Oryzias latipes: one gene and its partner. The protein of the gene in region 2 purifies or fractionates together with the protein of the main gene of each other region. This does not show direct contact. Links are inferred from orthologs where the notes say so. Each region holds a gene or a part of one and is shown on either strand. Other genes may lie near its edges.

Region 1 (8,652 bases), on a different chromosome or scaffold from region 2:
CTTTTCCAGTGTGCACTGCAGGCAAGGCTGCGCCGTGGCCAAGGCAGAGAAAACGGTAGTGGAAGTCATGAAGCAGCTCCTGGTAAAGGGACAGTGCACCGTCTGCTCTAAAGTCTTTTTCACCAAAGCTGAGATGGAGAAGCACACAGAATCGACGCAGCATGACGTTGAGGTCAATCAAACGGTGGTACAAGCTCTTCTTCAGTACGGCAGGTTCCATAGAGCACAGCAGGAGCAGAGGCGTTCCTTTCAAAAAAGACCCCGGGAGGAGAAGGATCGGGGTGAGGATTCGGTCAAGCAGCGGAGGTTGACTCCAGGTGTGCATTCCAGCAGTAGCAGAACCTCGGAGACCGCGTGGTTCTGCGAGTGCGGCCTGCAGTTCCCGGAGGAGGGTGTGGCCACCAAGCATCTTCTGGCCGTGAACCAGATTTTCCACCTGTGTGGCGTGTGCAGCAAACTCATGGGAGAGTCTTCCATCGCCAGCCTTCACATGAGCCGCTTCCATGGCGGAGCGCACCTCTCCAACTTCCTGTACTTCTGCAGGAAGTGCAACGTTGAAATGCCGCGATTCGAAGACATCCTGTCTCATGTGTCCGACGTTCACAGAGGACACACCTACATCGCAGAGCAAGAAGTGCCTGACGATCTCCAGGCCAAACCCTCCACCAGCAGCGAAGCCGCCACGTCCTCTTCCGGCAGATCCAAGGTCCAGCAGAACACCGTCGAGACGTCGTCCTCCGTGGCACGCGGCCTCACCTGGATGTGCAGGATGTGCGAGGACGTCTTCGACTCGGAAGTTGCCATCCGCAAACACTGCAGTGACATCAGCAGCCACAGCTTTCAGAGGTTTATCTGTGGACACTGTCCCCAAAAGTTCTTCAAGGAGTCCACCGTGAGAAGACACTGCACGAACGAGCACGGCGGGGACATAAAGAGTTGGTACTTTTGCGGCCTCTGCGACAGCATGCAGATGGATTCTGAGGCCGAGCTCCTGGAGCATTACCGGAGCCTTCACAGCAGGGATTACTGCTGCATGGACGACGCCGACGTTCTCCAACCGGCTGCTGCGATGCTTCCTCTGGACTGTCCCTGCATGTCTTCAGAAGGCAACAAGGAAACAGTGACGGGGGTTTATACCAGATGCATGAAAGAGTTGGCTGCAGAGGGGAAATGCCAGTACGTGTGTCCTCCCTGCAGCGTGTCCGTGCCAACGTACGCGCAGATCAAGACTCACGTGCACACAAAGCACCCCAGCCTGAACCTGGACAAGACATTTGAAGTACAATGCAACATGTGTCACCAGAGTTATATGGGTGTTCCAGGTTTCCATAAACACTATCATCACTGTCACTGCACGCTAGAGCCCTGCAGGAGCTCCAGGAAGAGCTCAGAGGCAGAGCCCACTCGTGTGGAGGTCAAAGCACACAAACGCCGTAAGTTCACCAAAGGAGGCTGACTTTAGCGTTTGTGTTTGGAGACTGCAGCACTTTTGATTCCAGTTTTTCATGATTCACAGAGATCCAGGATGAAACTCTGGGGAAGTTTCTGAAAGACGATCAGATCAACAACGAAAGAGATGAAACTGCCATGGGTAAACATTTACAGTAACGTGTCATGAATAAACATGACGGAGTTGAAGTAATTCTATCAGTTTGAAAAACCATATGTTTGATCCGATTAAAAAATCAGTTTTGTTGTCTGTTGCAGAGACCTCTGATGATGAGATGAAACACGCTCTGCCTGTAAGTGCAGAAGAAGCCAGAGAGTCAGCAGGTCTGTTTTCACAACAAAAAAAAAAACAACCTTTTTTTCAAAAGCTATAATAAAAAAGCAGTAATTATTAGTTTAGTACAAACTGTATATTTTAAAATGTAAAAAGTTTAGAGATTGGTATTTTTTATAGATCATTGTTTTTGTAAAATGAGCCAACATGTCAAAAAGATTTGAATGTTAAGACCTACTACAATGAAAATGTTTTTTTTCCAACATGTCTTCTAATGATGGAAACGCATATTAAGAAAATTAAGCTCAAATTTGCATTTGTAAAAAAATAAAAAGTCATATTTGTGTTGTTGAAACTGCACTGGGCGGCCCACAAGCTCCCTGCTTCTAGCGCTCCGAAAGGGAAAGGGGGCGGAGTTGCTCCGTGCCAGTGGTCCCGCCCACAATTCAGCTCTGCAGAAACTATGTCCTAAGAAAAACAACACAGGCTTTTTTTGTATTTTGACTAAAAGCAGCATAAACGGGATTAAAAGATCACTTTGAAAATAGCTTCAAAGATGATCGGAGTGGGTCTTTAAAATGGCCTCTGCTGTTTTTATGTTGTTTTATAATGGAGTGTCATTTTCAACTTTTTTTTTTTTCTTGTTTTTCTTTCCCGCAGAGTTGGAGGAAGCTCTTCAGAGAAGTCTTGTGGAGTTCTAAGTGCTTTCTAAATGAAGTAGTTCCTGTTGTTCACCTGTCACGTTGACCTTTTTTACTCAAGGTCATTGTTTTCAGAAGTTATAAATAAAAGTCATGAATTATTTGAATTGATTTACTTCCTTTAGCAGCCAAAGTCAGCAGTTCTTGGGGCAGACAGTGGGTTTTAAAGCTAGTTAGAAGCTGAGGGTTTATAAAAAGTCAGACGTTCTAAACATTGAAGCTATGTGTCACGTGTTCACACACACACACACACACACACACACAGGATTGTGGTGACACAGCTAGATGCCTGGGCTGACCTCGTGACCGCAGACCAACCGCTCCTCCACCTCTCTGGTTTCACTACAGACGTGAGGATTCTCTTTACCGGCTGCTCAGACGTCAGAAATGAATGAGCAGAAATTGTATTTTTTCTACAGAAAAGTTTGTATGAAACATCATTACATGAGTTCAACTTAAAGAAAAAGGTTTTTTGTGTAAAAGTGTGAGTGAATAACAGGGACAGAACGGTTTTCCTAAAAAGTACTCTCTGTGAAAATATTTTTCTTTAATAAAGATATAATAACGGAGCATGACGTTTGGTCATTGAATGTTACATTTGATTATTTTGTTCGGAGAACAGAAAAAAAAAACAGTTTGGAGACCTGTTGGTTGGTAAAATAGATGGAATCTATCTTTGTGGCTTGAAGCAATAGAGATAATGGTAACAAGCACCTGTCACCTCATCAGCGCCCCCTAAAGGTGGTTTTGTTACATTGTGTCTTTGCTTTTTTCTTTTAACTAAAATGATGAAAAAGTGCCACTTGTACAAATTGATGAGAGTTGCAAATGTCATGTTTAACAAACCTGTATGAACTCTGCAAAAATATTATTCAAATCATGCAGAAAACAGTTATTGGACAATACTATTATTTTATATTTACTTGATGTATTCGTCTTTTAGTTTATTTTTATTTTCTAATCAATTTATGACAATTGTTTTTTTGCCTCCTAATTATATAAAAGTTCCAGAAAAAATAAGCTTTCTCTCCCCCTGTTCCCTTTTATCTCCCAGATATAAAATCTTGTGTAAAATAAAATCTGTTGTTTTATGGAAATTCAAATAAAGCATTTTAAAGCTAAAGCGCTCCTCACTCAGAGCCCCCTGTTGGAGCCCCCTGTCTGGGTTGGAGCCTCCTCTCTGGGTTCCTCGGGAAGTTTCTGTGAGGAGGAGGAAGAGGAGGAAGCTGAAGCCCATGTTAGGAAATGTTGTCCCAGGGGCGCTGCTGCCTGTAGCCTGAGGAATTACTGGTCAGGCGGAGAGCTTAAAGCGCCGCTCACTCTTTGGATTGACTGATCGGACTACAGAAACTCGGCACTGCAGCACTAATTATTATGGCTCAGGCGAAAATCCAGGCGAAGATGAACGAAGCGGTCTGCAGCAAGTTCAGCAGGACACTGTCCATGGCTGATCGCTCCGGAAGACTGCTGGAAACTCTGGATCAGCTGGAAATCAGGTACAATAACGGGCCTCGCCATGCGCGTCTTCTTTGGAGGTGCTCTCGTTCGTTTGACACTGTGGCGTAACTTTAACAACTGAACGTGATTGGAAGGAAAAAGAAAAGCTGTTTTTTTTTGACGGATGTTTGTTTTTGTCAGGGTGGAGGCTTTAAGAGAAACAGCATCCGCCCTGGAGCAGGAAAGAGAAGGCATCCTGGAAATGATTCAATCCATCCAGAACAGTCAAGAAATGCGTAACATCTGTGCGGGTGAGGCTGCTAATTCTCTCCCACAACTTACATAAGAGCACAAGTCATCCGCTGCTTAATACCAGTGAAGAGTGGCTTAACTTTCCAGTAATCTTAATTCCTGTTTTTTGCTACTTTGATCCTGTGGTGATAAAAGGAAAACTTTGCGTGATGGTCAAGAAACTGAAAAGAACAATGTGCTCCACCCAAAATGCATCACATGTCTCACCCATAGAGGTCCCATTTCACCTCTGTGTCTTTCTATTAAACCCTCTAAAAGGAACACACTATACTTCTGAGTCCAACATAGCAAGTTTACTACAAGATATAAACTTTTTTTCATGGTATAAGTAGAAAGAAAAATTCTGTTCTTTTCATGGTACCATATTATATTTACATATTCAACATAAGTCCACACATTTTCATGAATAGAAAGGAACAAAAAAAATGAAATTCTTGTTATATTTCTGCCCCTATATCAAATCTTAAAGACCCACTCAGGAAAATTGTGTTTTTGGTGTTTTTAACATGTTGTTGTGGTGTTTTTCTCAAAATGCAGGACATATAGAAAGAAAATTCAGCTCATATTTCCATTTCGGTGTATTTCTTTATTCAAATTGCAAAAGCAAAAATGCCATTTGAAAAAGCTTGTAGGTTTGACGTAGAAGCTAATACAGCAGACCACAAACGTCCTGCTCTTCTCTGCTCCATTCTGATGCATCCACTTGCGGACAAATAGATCCATGTAGGTCTTTTGTTTTCCTCATCCGAGTTGGCTTCCGGCTCAAAGCTGGACGGATGGATATCTCCATTCTTGCAGGCCATTTGAGTTGCATCAGTAATGTTACGTTGGGGTTATAAAGGGCTGTAAATTTGCAGGAGAGCGTTTAAACACATAGATGTCCGGAAGCAAGGGTGGGCTTACTCCACGCCTACGGCCCCACCTACAACTTAGAGGCAGATTTCTAATGAATTCCTGCCGCTCTGCAGAAATTATGTCCTAGAAAATGACACAGGATTTTTTTATTTGGGCTAAAAATGGTATAACTATAATTACAAAACCACTCGGAACACTTTGGAAATAGATCAAAAGACGATTTATTAACATAAAATACATCAAAATAAATGAAATGAGTCAAAAACAGGTTAATAATAATATTTTTTATGACAAATTAAAGCTCTAATTTCCTTTTCTTCTGCAGGAGAAAGGGAAGAGTTGAGCTTAACTGCGAACCGTCTGATGGGCCGGACTCTGACGGTGGAGATCTCCGTTGGCACCATTAGAAACCCCCAGCAGGAGGAGGCCCTGCGGAAAGCCACATCCATGATTGACGAAATCGTAAAAAAGTTGCTGGTCGACATGGAAGGCGGTCGGCAGCAGCTGATGGCGCTGCACGCCGCCTGCGTGACCGAAGCACCGCCTGTCCCCATCGATCAGAAGTTCCAGGTTGTGGTGATCAGCTGCTCTTTGGAGGACCAGAAGAAGATCAAACAGAGGCTGGAGACGCTGGTGAGGAATGTGGAAAACGCTGAAAAGAACATCAAAATTATGGATCATCAAAAACTGGAGAGTGCAAAAACCAACTGCAGTAGTTAATAATCATCACCAAAGCATGAAGGGTGTTTTTGAATTCCACTTTACCTCACAAAGGAGAGCTGCACAAGCATGACTCTTAGGGATCCATGCATTGTAACCAACCCTGAAAAGTACACTGGTACACATTTTTTTTGTAAAAAGGTCAATTTTTACTTTAAATTTTACTACACCGACATAGCTAAAGGGCACACAGTTCACAATGTATGTTCATCAATAAGCCCAAGAAAGAACAAATACAGATGCATCACAGATTGAAGTTCAACCTTTTGAAGACAATATATAATTTTGAGCACATTTTGCAGCAATTCAGTGCTCTGACATATGAGGTGATTGACAATGCAACAACCAGTATTTTACCAATACTGTGATCGTTAACGTTGAAAATAAAATTACAAACATGTCAAATGAAACCACCTGACAGGAAGTTCGTGGAATTTATCTCAGTTGTAGAAAGACTTTTTATTTGTCTTACAGTTTTAGTTGAAAGGATTTTTGACACAAACTCTGTACGCCTTCATCTTCTGCTGTTTTTTTTTTTGTTACATTTTTATGAAACACAAAGAAAGAAAGTCAATAAAAACTGTGAGAAGCCTCTGAATATGCAGTTTCTTGTTTTCACAAATGGGGAATCCTCCTTTATTTTGTCATTTGGTTTGATAAGAACCTAAAAGCACATGTACAGTTCATAAAATTGCACAAGTCAATGCTTACAATTGGGAGAAAATATTAAAAGTTGTTTCACCATCATGTATGTAGTAGCACAAGGAAAATATGAAACTTAAAAAAAATTGTGATGATGGGACAAAAGCATTCAAAAAGAAAAGAAGGTTCTGTAGCAATTTTGAAATATGTTAAAGTAAATCAGTTTGATTAATTTAATATTATTTAGAACAGAATTATAAATAATAATGGATTGGATTTATGTGCGCTTTTCCAGACCCTCAAAGCGCTTCCGTTGTGTCCATTATTCATTCACTCTTCATTCATGGTAGAGGTGTGGCTGCTAGTATGCAGGGCTTTCTGACCATCACCGGGATCATTCATGCACATTCATGCTGGTAGGCAGTAGCGTCAAGGGTCTTGCCCAAGGACCCCCACTGAGTCATGGTAATTGCTCGCCATTGTTTATATTTATGTATCATTGTTTATTCCCCTCCTGCATGGCAGCCTTCTACCTTACCAACTGAGCTACCCAGCTTGTTATGAGAAATAGGAGCTATGTGGTGGCACAGTGGTTAGTGCTGTCACAATGGGTGGTTTAAATCTTGCCTGGGTCCTTTCTGTGTGGACTTTGCATGTACTCCTGGTGCATGTGTGGGTCCAACAACATGCTCAAAGGTTAAATGGCCTGTCTAAATTGCCCCCTGGTGTGCATGTGAGTGTGTGTGGTTGTGTGACCCTGGAACAGACTGGTGACCTGTTCAGGGTGTACCCTACCATCACCCAATAGTAGCTGGGTCCAGCAGCCCCAGCTTCCTGTGTTGTTTGGTCCAACAGATCAAATGTCACATTTGCTAATGGAAACACAGATGCCACACCCTTTTAACTAAAGCGAACCAAACTTGTGAGAAACCTCAGAATATTTAGAAAACAGGAAAATATGCTGTCATTACCCGAGAACTTTGTAGCAGAGGAAGAACATCCTGCTCCGGATGTTCACACAGCCGAGATGATAAAGCAAGAATACTTTGAATGATTTAGGATGCAGCACTCAGAGTGGGAGAACGGAGTGTCTTTAACCCTTGTGCTATCCTAGGCACTTTAAAATTGGGAGTGGGGTCATCTAGACCCCACTAGACAGTGCACTGAACCGTTTTTCTTCAATGATTTGTGATCTTCACTGTTGTCCATGAATCACATAAAATCCTCTCCACCTTTATCATGGTAGGGAGAACTCATCAAAGTAAGGGTGGGGTCATAGGATAGCACAAGGGTTACAGTGCAGCACATAATAGTATTTTAATCAATAGTAAGTGTTGTCCATTATGTTATCCAGCCAGTATATGCATTACTTTTCAGACAACCAGAACCAAACAGTTGCAGCTTTAGGGCTGGAGTCTTCACTGCTTTTGTCCATCTTTAGGAATAGCTCTGCTCTAAAGCAGAAAATCAAATAAAAAACTGTAAAAATATAAAAAAACATTGTCTTTAGTGATCTATCTAAATGTGCAATTATGCCAAATGTGATTATGTATGCAGGACATGAAACGGGCTTATTTAGATGCATTAAAGAAATGGACTGAATTATTTTGTCAAAAAAATAACAATTGTGCTTGCTTTAGTGTTAATATGACTCCAAGAAAACAACACCTCAAAACTCCCCATAATACAAAGAAAAACTGTAAAAATGTCACTCCCACGCAGATGAATCTTCCTATCAAGACGGTGCAAATGCAGTCATCACAGTATTTTTAATAAATAACTGGATTTCTTAACACATAAGATGTAAAAAGTTCAATATGTGTTGTACTTAGAAAGAAATGTTGATAAAAGAGCCTTACTTTTTATTTAGTACATAAATGTAGGCAGTTTGCAAAAGGGCTTTTGTTGTTCTGCTGATAAAATTTTACATTTACAAGAGGAAATCCAGGAAAAAGGTTTTTCACTGACACAAACTTACTCCTAAAGGGGGTTTCAGATTTTAAGATTCAGATTATAATCCAGGAAGAGTTAGCCATAAAAAACACACACAAGAAGAATTCAAGAGTTTTTTATTTGTCTGATTGCCATCAAATAGTCTCTCACATCCCACCAGCAGGCGCCCACTTTGTGTGACAGACCTCAGGCTGATGCAGAATTCGGAAAAGAAAATTCAAGATGTGTCGAGTATATTATTAAAGTGAAAACATGCCGCTGTCTGTGTCAGTTTGAAACGCGTGGAATTCATCTAAGCCGTTAAGTATA
Region 2 (8,652 bases):
CCGATGAGAAATTTAAGGAGGTCGCTGAAGCCTACGAAGTCCTGAGCGACCCTAAGAAAAGGGACATTTATGATCAGTATGGAGAGGAAGGTAACGTTCACGCCGTTTATCGCCCTTTCTCCCTCTGAGTTGCCAGATTGGCCCCCAAATCCCCCCTTCAGGTCATGGTGATGCATGTGGATGGCTGGGCCAAAAGCACAGTTGGCTTCAGTTCGAGTCCCTCAGTGTCAGGGGAAATCCAGAAAACAGCTGTTCGGCAGACCACTGTACCACAGCTCTCTGCAGTTATTGAGGGTTTGGCTTCATGCTTCTTATTTTTTTAAATATAAAAACGACCCACAGCTGAGTTCTGCACCCATTTTTGAAGCATGAAGTGCTTTATTCTTGTCCCTATTCTTTAACTATGACTTTTTTCATATTTTATCACTTTAATATTTTATTTTCACTTTTATTTTATTACGTCAAAGGGTGATGACAAACCGCTGATTATCTGTGAAAATCAGGTATGGATGCTGACACTGAAGAACTAATCTGCCTGAGTCAGAAGATGAGTCATGTCTTTAATGGGTCTGGAAATGTCTTTCCATCATTAATGAGTGACATTCCACCATTTTCACTAGAATCATATCAGCATCACACGATTTACACTCAAGTTACCTTTACAGGCCACATTTTTAGCCTCAATAGATGGTTTTGAAATGCACCATCTGCATCCCTTTAAGAAAGGAATGCTTTTCCACTATTGCCATGGTTACCACAGAAGTGTGGATGGAGGAAGAAGAGCAACCTACTGTGTGGTTTTGACACCATCACCTTTCAAAGATCCACAGAAATGCTTTTAGATGTGTGGGATTCAGGATGAAGGCAGGATTAAATGTAGCCAAATCTATAGTTTCTTTAAGTATTTTTTATTTTATAACCCTTGTGCTATCTTCTTGCGCTGAGCAAGCCAATACCTGTCTTTTGGGGTCCAGATGACTGAACCTTTTTTCTTCTTTTGTGATCTTCACTGGTGTCCATGGATTACATGAAATCCTTCCACCTTTATCCACCTTTGTCATAGTAGGGAGAACATGTCAATTAGGGTGGGGTCATCTGGACCCCACAGGATAGCATAAGGGTTACTGGGATTAACGATGTAAAGTTGGTTACAATCTAAAGACCGTGTCATACAGCCGCTACATACTTTTTCCTGATTTTCCTCGTATGAAATTTCGGTCTTTCGTGACACATTCAGGACATTCGTCATTCATAAGTGCTTCTTGCGTTCGTCGATGTGCATAGATGTCCGTCGGTTTCAGCTGACGGTCTTTGGGTGAATTTGGTTTTGAGCTATTCAAAATTTTCGGGCGGTTGAGATTTACACTGTTTGGCGTATACTTACATAGAATGGCGTATACTTATATAGTGCTTTCTACCTTCTTTCAAAGGCCCAAAGCGCTTAACAGTCACAGTCCCATTCACCCATGCTCACACACACATTCACACACTGGCACCAACCTCCCACCAGAGGCAAGGTGGGGTTCAGTGTCTTGCCCAAGGACACTTCGACTCATGGGCGTGCAAGGCGGGAATCGAACGCGGAATATTACAATTATGGGTCGACCGCCCTACCGCTGCACCACGGCCGCCCATTTACTGTTGTTTAATTATTACGCAAATCTTACGCAATTGTGCGTGATTTTTGCGAGATGCATATGCAAATTTGTGTCTTTCCACAACCGTTCCACGAATGTCTAACAGATTTTTCACGCATGAACCACCGATGTGTAACTTTCATATTGCGTGTATGGCGCACATTTCATGTTAAAAATATGTAATTGACACATGAATTTTGGGCCAGGTTTGGCTTTTACGTCGATTTTACGTGTTATTTGCGTGGTTCATTCGTACTCCCTCTTCGGTTTTAGGGTGATTCATTTTTGATACATCTGTGAAAATTTCACATAAAGACCACAACTTTCTCAATCTTTTCACGTATGACCAATTTTCATCCGTGCAATATGCGAGAAAAAACTGTGACACGGCCGCAAGAATTTTCTCAGATTTTGTTTTGTTTCAAAGGCCCTCACTTTATGATCAACCTGGCAGGAGAAAAAGGTGTTTAAGTGGGTGAAGAGGTCTAGTCTTCCCCTTATATATCTAAGACTGTATTCAGACTGGACATTTGGTTCGCTTAAAGTGAACCAGAGTTTGTTTCCCCCGAAAATCCAGAATAAATTTTCATTATGGTCATACCCAACCGGCCCCTGGTCCGGGAGCAGAAACCGCTCTCGGACCCATCTCTCAAGGTGGTCAAAACAGGAAAGTACAGTAGACGGCAGTCTGAATACAGACTAAGTGCAAACTTCAGGGCTCGATCTGGACCAATGGACTTTTTTCAGTCTGAACACACCGTCAAAGTCCAAGTCATTGTTGTTTTCCATTAAACTTACCGTAGGATAATTGATCATAGTTTAACCTCTGAGAAAAGACATATCTTTCAGCATATTTTACCATCAGAGGTATCATCGATCTACTGTTAACTTCATAAAGTGAAACCGTCTGAGAGATCCAAAGCTTTACTCCTCCTCACCAACTTTATTGGAGACTGCAGATCTTCTTTGGAGAAAAACTGTACTAGAAGTCCGGATCACATGACTAAGCTCTCAGATAAATGGTAAATGACAAGCAAACACAAGACACATTTTCAAATGTGAAAAAACTGTCAGAACAACAGTTTTTTTCCTGTAATTTTGTAATTTAACAGAGCTGCTCGTGGATTTGTTGCATTCAGTTCGTTGCATCCTCACATTTACAGCCTGTTGTTGCATTGTGACACATTATCTCCTCTGTGTCACGATACTGATGACTAACTTGTGTTGTCCATCAGGTCTGAAGGGTGGAAGTGCTCCGGCTGGCGATGGACAGGGCACCAACTTCACCTACACCTTCCATGGAGACCCTCATGCCACCTTTGCCACTTTTTTTGGTGGCTCCAACCCTTTCGAGATGTTCTTTGGGCGCAAAGCCAACGGACGAGACGACGAGGACATGGATGTGGATGGGAACGACCCCTTTGGCTCCTTCACCAGCTTCAACATGAACGGCTTCCCTCGGGACGGCCACGTGGGCCTTGGCGGGCAGCAGCGTCGGAAGCAAGACCCCCCCATCGTGCATGAACTGAGGGTCACCCTGGAAGAAGTCTTCCACGGCTGCACCAAGAGAATGAAAATCTCCCGCAAAAGGCTGAACCCAGACGGCAGGACCATGCGAACGGAGGATAAGATCCTCACCATTGAGATCAAGAGAGGCTGGAAGGAGGGGACAAAGATCACATTCCCACGGGAAGGCGACGAGTCGCCCAACACCATTCCCGCTGACATCGTCTTCGTCATCAAGGACAAACCTCACCCGCACTTCAGGCGAGAGGGCTCCAACATCGTGTATCCTGTTCGTGTGAGCTTAAGACAGGTGCGTTAGTTCTATTTCAGTCTGGTACATGGATTCGTCATATCGGCGAGTTTATGAGCAAGTTCACTTTGAGTGGAGAACAAAGCTCCAAGCTTTGGACGCCAAACAGCTGCGTTACAATCAATAAACCGGAGGAAGTCTACCTCAAACCCCGTACTGAATGAACATAGTGCTGATCTACACACAAACACTTATGCAACCGACATCATCCACATGGAGGAATGGGATCTTCACGACCCTTGCAAGGCGACGGTCGCCCACACGCAACATGTACTTTTCTGGTTCCTCCCACTCTCCTCGGCTCTCAGTGAGAAATTTCACAGCCTCGTCTCTGAATGTCTGATCGCCGCACGCTAACCACACAAGATCAGCCCATTCCCGCAGTGAAACACACCCAAAAAAACTATCCGTCACCATGACGGCAACGGTGAAACTGTAGACCGAGACGAGAGTTTCAGGTCGTTTCACTGTCAGAGGTTTTCCTTTGTTTTCCAAAAGTTTGAACCGGAATAAGAAACAGTTAAACTAAAAGATAAGGCAGTCTAGAGCAGACAAATGACCTGATGATGATTGTTGAGGTTAGTTTGAGCACAACAGTGCAAAGCGGTGTAGCCTCAAACTCTGACAGTCTCATCATCATCACACAGGTCAAGAGTGCAGCACTCACACTTGGACCTTTGTATCTAGACAAATGGAGGAGACAGATTCCATCAAGTTCTCGTGAGAAACAGCTCTCCACAAATAACATCTGATGATAAAGAAGCTTCAAGATGCTTGAGAAATGTCAGATCACAGCTTTGTCACAGTAACACTGCTGTAGCTCCAGATCAGTACAAGTAATTATACATTGCAAAAAAGTATAAAAGGAGACTATTAAATACATATCTGCTTTGTAATGGGTCTAAAGTGATTATGCTGTAGAAAAACTAAGTCATACCCTAACAGTTTCCTGCTAACGTCTAAAAACATGTCATCTATGAAGGCTTTCACCTTTCCATTGGACTGTGACACCTCAAACCCAACGCATGATTCGACTCCCCCATGATTATTTTAACCCACGCCCATCATCTAGAATGGAAGCCCCACTCCGATCATATTTTGATCTATTTTTAAAGCGTTCCCAGTGGTTTTTCAATGATGATTATGTGGTTTCTAGCCAAAATCTAAAAACCTGTATCATTTTCTAAGACATAGTTTCTGCAGAGTGGCAGGAGTTCATCTCTGATTGTGGGCAGGACTGCTGGGTGGAAGTAACCCTCCTCTTACATCCCATTATCCCTTTGTTTACACTCTCTCTCACTAGCTTACAGCCCCTCACACCCCCAAACTAACATTTGCGGTGCAACAAAAATGGCGAGCAATGTTGGAGCTATCGAGGCGTCCAGTTCAGATCCAGATTCCAGCTCAGACCAGGAAAACAATGATGCTCATGGATCTTTTGGACTGCAGGTGGATGATCAGAATGCAGCAGAGCAGGAAGACTTTGGTCCCCCCAATTTCTGTTGCTGTATCACAAACATAAGCTTTTTCAAACAGGGTTTTCCTCTGCTCCAGATTCGCAACAAATTCAACAAAGAAATACTCAGAAATGCAATTAATCTGAACTTTCTTTATATATGTCCTCCATCATCAGAAAATGCTACAATAGCATGAAAAAAAGCACAATTTTCATTGGTGTGTGGGTCTTTTAGGAGATGTGATGCAGACTTTAGAGAAAACTCACTCCATAAATAAACATACAGTTTCCTAAACACTTTACGTCACTGTAAAATAACACTTGGCCTTTAAAATATATTTTATATTTCAAGTGAAAAAGCTATTAGCAGATTTATTTTTTACATTTGATATACTGTAGTTTTTTAAATAAATCATTGTTTACACAGTTTCAGCTGATACAGAAGAACGTATAGTTTAGGGTCAAGACAATAGCTGAAGGTTTTATTCCGTGCATTTCAGTTCTCACCTGCAGACGACCACAGGCGTGTTTCTACTGTCTAACTGGGCGTCCTTTTGTTTACTTTGCAGTCCTTGTGTGGATGCTCGGTCACCGTGTCAACAATAGACGGGAAGACATGCAACATGAAAATCACGGATGTAATCAAGCCTGGCCTGAGAAAAACGGTGACGGGACAGGGTCTACCTTTGCCCAAAAACCCGGAGCAGAGGGGCGACCTGGTGGTGGAGTTTGACGTGAACTTTCCGGATGCGTTGCCTGGCAACGCCAAGGACGTCCTGAAGCGGCACTTGCCTGCTTAGTGCGAGGCAGCAGCATGACGGCGCTCAGACCCTGAGAGGAGACACAGCCGCTGGAGACCAGCTGTGACGGTACGCAGACGGACGCCCAACCGACGAATGTGCAATTTCTATTTTTGAGCTTTTCTAACTGTCACGCATGCTGCCAAACTGATACAAGTGCAATGAAAGACTGTCTGGACTGTTATGTACTGGGTTGGATGGAAGCTGGCTTTTGCCACAGTCACAGCAGATGACGTTTGGTTGCAAAAATATATTTGCCAAAAAAAATCTTACAGAACTCCTGGAAGAAATGTATTGCCAAATGAAACCTTGATTCTTATAGGTCTGACCTGATTCAGTGACCTGTGTGAAACTCTCTTTAGTGTTTTATTTTGATGGATTCTGAAGCTCTCTTAATATTTGTGTGCAAGATATCCAAGAGGTATATGGCTGTATGCAACAAGTGCATTGTAGGCAAAGACTTTCAAGGCCGTGTCACACAGCCACTGCGTACATTTTGCGCATTTTCTACGTGTGAAATTTGAGTCTTTCGTGATCCAGGCGTGATATCCATTCGTGTTTCTTGGGTTCGTCATTCATCGATGCACGCAGATGGTGTGGAATTATGCAGTTTACGCATATTTTACGTAGTTTAATTATTACGTGAAGCTTACACACTTACGCGTGGTTCGCAAATTTGTGTATTCCCACGACCGCTCCACGTATGTCTAACAGACTTTTCATGCATGTACAACTGACGTCTAACTTTCCTATCGCGTATACGGCGCACATTTCATGTTAAAATTATGTAATCGATGCACAAATCACTAATAAATTGCCATGTAAACAGCGCAATAATCTCACACGGTTCATGTTCTACGTTGATTTACGTGTTCTGGTCCAGATGACCCCACTCCCAATGTTAACGTTGGAGGTGGGGTCATCTAGACCCACTAGACAGTGCTCTGAACCTTTTTTCATCAATGATTTGTGATCTTCACTGGTGTCCATGGATTACATGAAGTCTTTTCACCTTTATCCACCTTTGTCATGGTAGGGAGAACACGTCAATGTAAGGGTGGGGTCATCTGGACCCCACTAGATAGCACAAGGGTTATTCAGTTACGACCAATTTTCCTCCGTACGCTGCAATATGTGCTAATTATACGTAGTGGCTGTGCGACACGACCTTTTTAGATGATTCTTTGTTGTTTCAGTTATGGAGTAGAAGCTTCTGCAGATTTCTCCTCCGTGAAATCAAGTGTGTATTAACTGTACTTGATTTAGCATTGCTCCTACTCTTTGTTTTATTGGTAGTCTGTGTAGCATTTCTCCAAAAAAGGAAAATGACTTCATGAAAACAGGTTCTTCACAGCAGCGGGAGAAAAGTAAATGATATCTATTTTGATAGCTTACTGTGAATATTTTGTTGTTGGTAACCAGATATGTACATTTTGGATATGCAAACATCAGAATAAAAAAACCCCCACTGTTTAAGGAAGAGCTATGATGACATAATTATGACTGTGTAAATATAGCTGCCAGCTCTAAGCTGCTTAGTGTCAGCCTCTGACACAGGAGGCCTCTGCCCCACCAGGGGACGCCACATCACCCATCGCAGTGTGGGGGTCTGGAGACGAACCCTGGAGGGGCTTTCTGTGAGCGATGCTCTCCAGTGCAGCCCTGAGAACGTCTTCTGCAATGTTTGCATCGCATGGTAACTGCATGCAATAAACGGAATCACTTTTTGGAATTGATCGTCAAGTTCTAATCAGTGGGTTTGGAAATGAAGAGTGGTAACTTCATTTTTTTGTTTTAGATGCATTAATTATTAAATTTAATCTAAAAACGTGGTGAACGGAAAATTCTGACGGTCTTAATCGTTTTAGCCAAAATGGAGAATTTTAAAAACTAACTAAATAAATAAAGGTAAGGGTCAAAAATATGCTGTTGAGTCAAAACTTCAGACTATAAAAGTGAAATTCTACAGTAAAAGTATAATATTCTGAACAAACCTTTGAGGGAAAAAAATAATTTTGTTCTAATTAAGTTGAAAAAATTAAGAATAAAGTAAAAATTCTGTGTTATATATTTTTATTTTGATAAGTCAGAAGTTCAATGCACTTTTTGTCTGAATCTGTTTATGGTGATGAGGCATTTATGCTGGGAAATAAGTCATTTTTGGCTTGTGCTGTTTTTGTCCACACGTTTGAAAAGCTGCGTTTAAAATAAAATAAAGCCAAGGCAGTTTTATAGACATTTTCAGAATAATTCTCCTAATTGACAGTAATTAAACAAGAGTCCTCCAAAGGGATATTTTTCACCGATGTGACAGGAAAGACATGGTTTGGATGCCGTTATTTGGTTCTGTTTAGATTCTGCAACACTTTATAGACACTTCATTGTGTTATGTGTTGTATAGATGTAGTGCTATTTGTTGTCTTTTGTTATCTGTTCTTTTATTAATATGATCTTGTTTTTTGAGCTGTGGTAAGAAATCCTTTTCCCTGTCTTGGGATCATTCAAAGTTCCATCTATATATCTATAAAATAAGCAACAGTTTGATTAAAGCTGCAAAAACTCGTTTTTGTAGCTCGAGAACTTTGATTGACCTTTTCTGGTCATAGTAATAATGGTTAGAGTCAAAACTCGCTAAATAGTTTGGTTGTTATATTTAAGTAACATGTTCAGTAAGTTGTGGGCGTTCATTTACATTTTCAGTAAAATACATTAAATTAAATGATACAAACTTCCTGAGTACGTCTTAAAAGGCTCCTGCTGCTACACTTGAAGTTTATTTGATGAAGTATACTTGAGTATAAGTAGAAAAAGTCTACTATAGACCATGTAGTTGGAAGTATTCTAACTAAATACTTCTTCAGACTACATTGGAACATTTTAAGTTTTACAATAGATACTAAATAAATAGTAGCCTTCAAGTGTACTACTTGTAGTAAGTACACT

What was found.
Region 1: the proteins of dnajb4 (region 2) and bag2 purify together in Homo sapiens (affinity purification with mass spectrometry; 4 studies listed by BioGRID and IntAct, with this or other methods). This does not show direct contact. The link is inferred for Oryzias latipes from reciprocal best matches to the Homo sapiens genes DNAJB4 and BAG2.

What each region holds. Positions count from the first base shown.
Region 1 is NC_019873.2:24,428,274-24,436,925, forward strand, and holds bag2 (BAG family molecular chaperone regulator 2), read left to right. Parts: upstream 1-3,644; 5' UTR 3,645-3,798; coding exon 3,799-3,920; intron 3,921-4,062; coding exon 4,063-4,172; intron 4,173-5,353; coding exon 5,354-5,748; 3' UTR 5,749-6,342; downstream 6,343-8,652. Other genes in the region: E3 SUMO-protein ligase ZNF451, read left to right, coding at 10-1,433, 1,517-1,591, 1,708-1,773, 2,384-2,424. UniProt on the Homo sapiens protein: Co-chaperone for HSP70 and HSC70 chaperone proteins. Acts as a nucleotide-exchange factor (NEF) promoting the release of ADP from the HSP70 and HSC70 proteins thereby triggering client/substrate protein release.
Region 2 is NC_019875.2:4,285,450-4,294,101, forward strand, and holds the end of dnajb4 (dnaJ homolog subfamily B member 4), read left to right. Parts: coding exon 1-90; intron 91-2,872; coding exon 2,873-3,453; intron 3,454-5,478; coding exon 5,479-5,709; 3' UTR 5,710-5,976; downstream 5,977-8,652. UniProt on the Homo sapiens protein: Probable chaperone. Stimulates ATP hydrolysis and the folding of unfolded proteins mediated by HSPA1A/B (in vitro).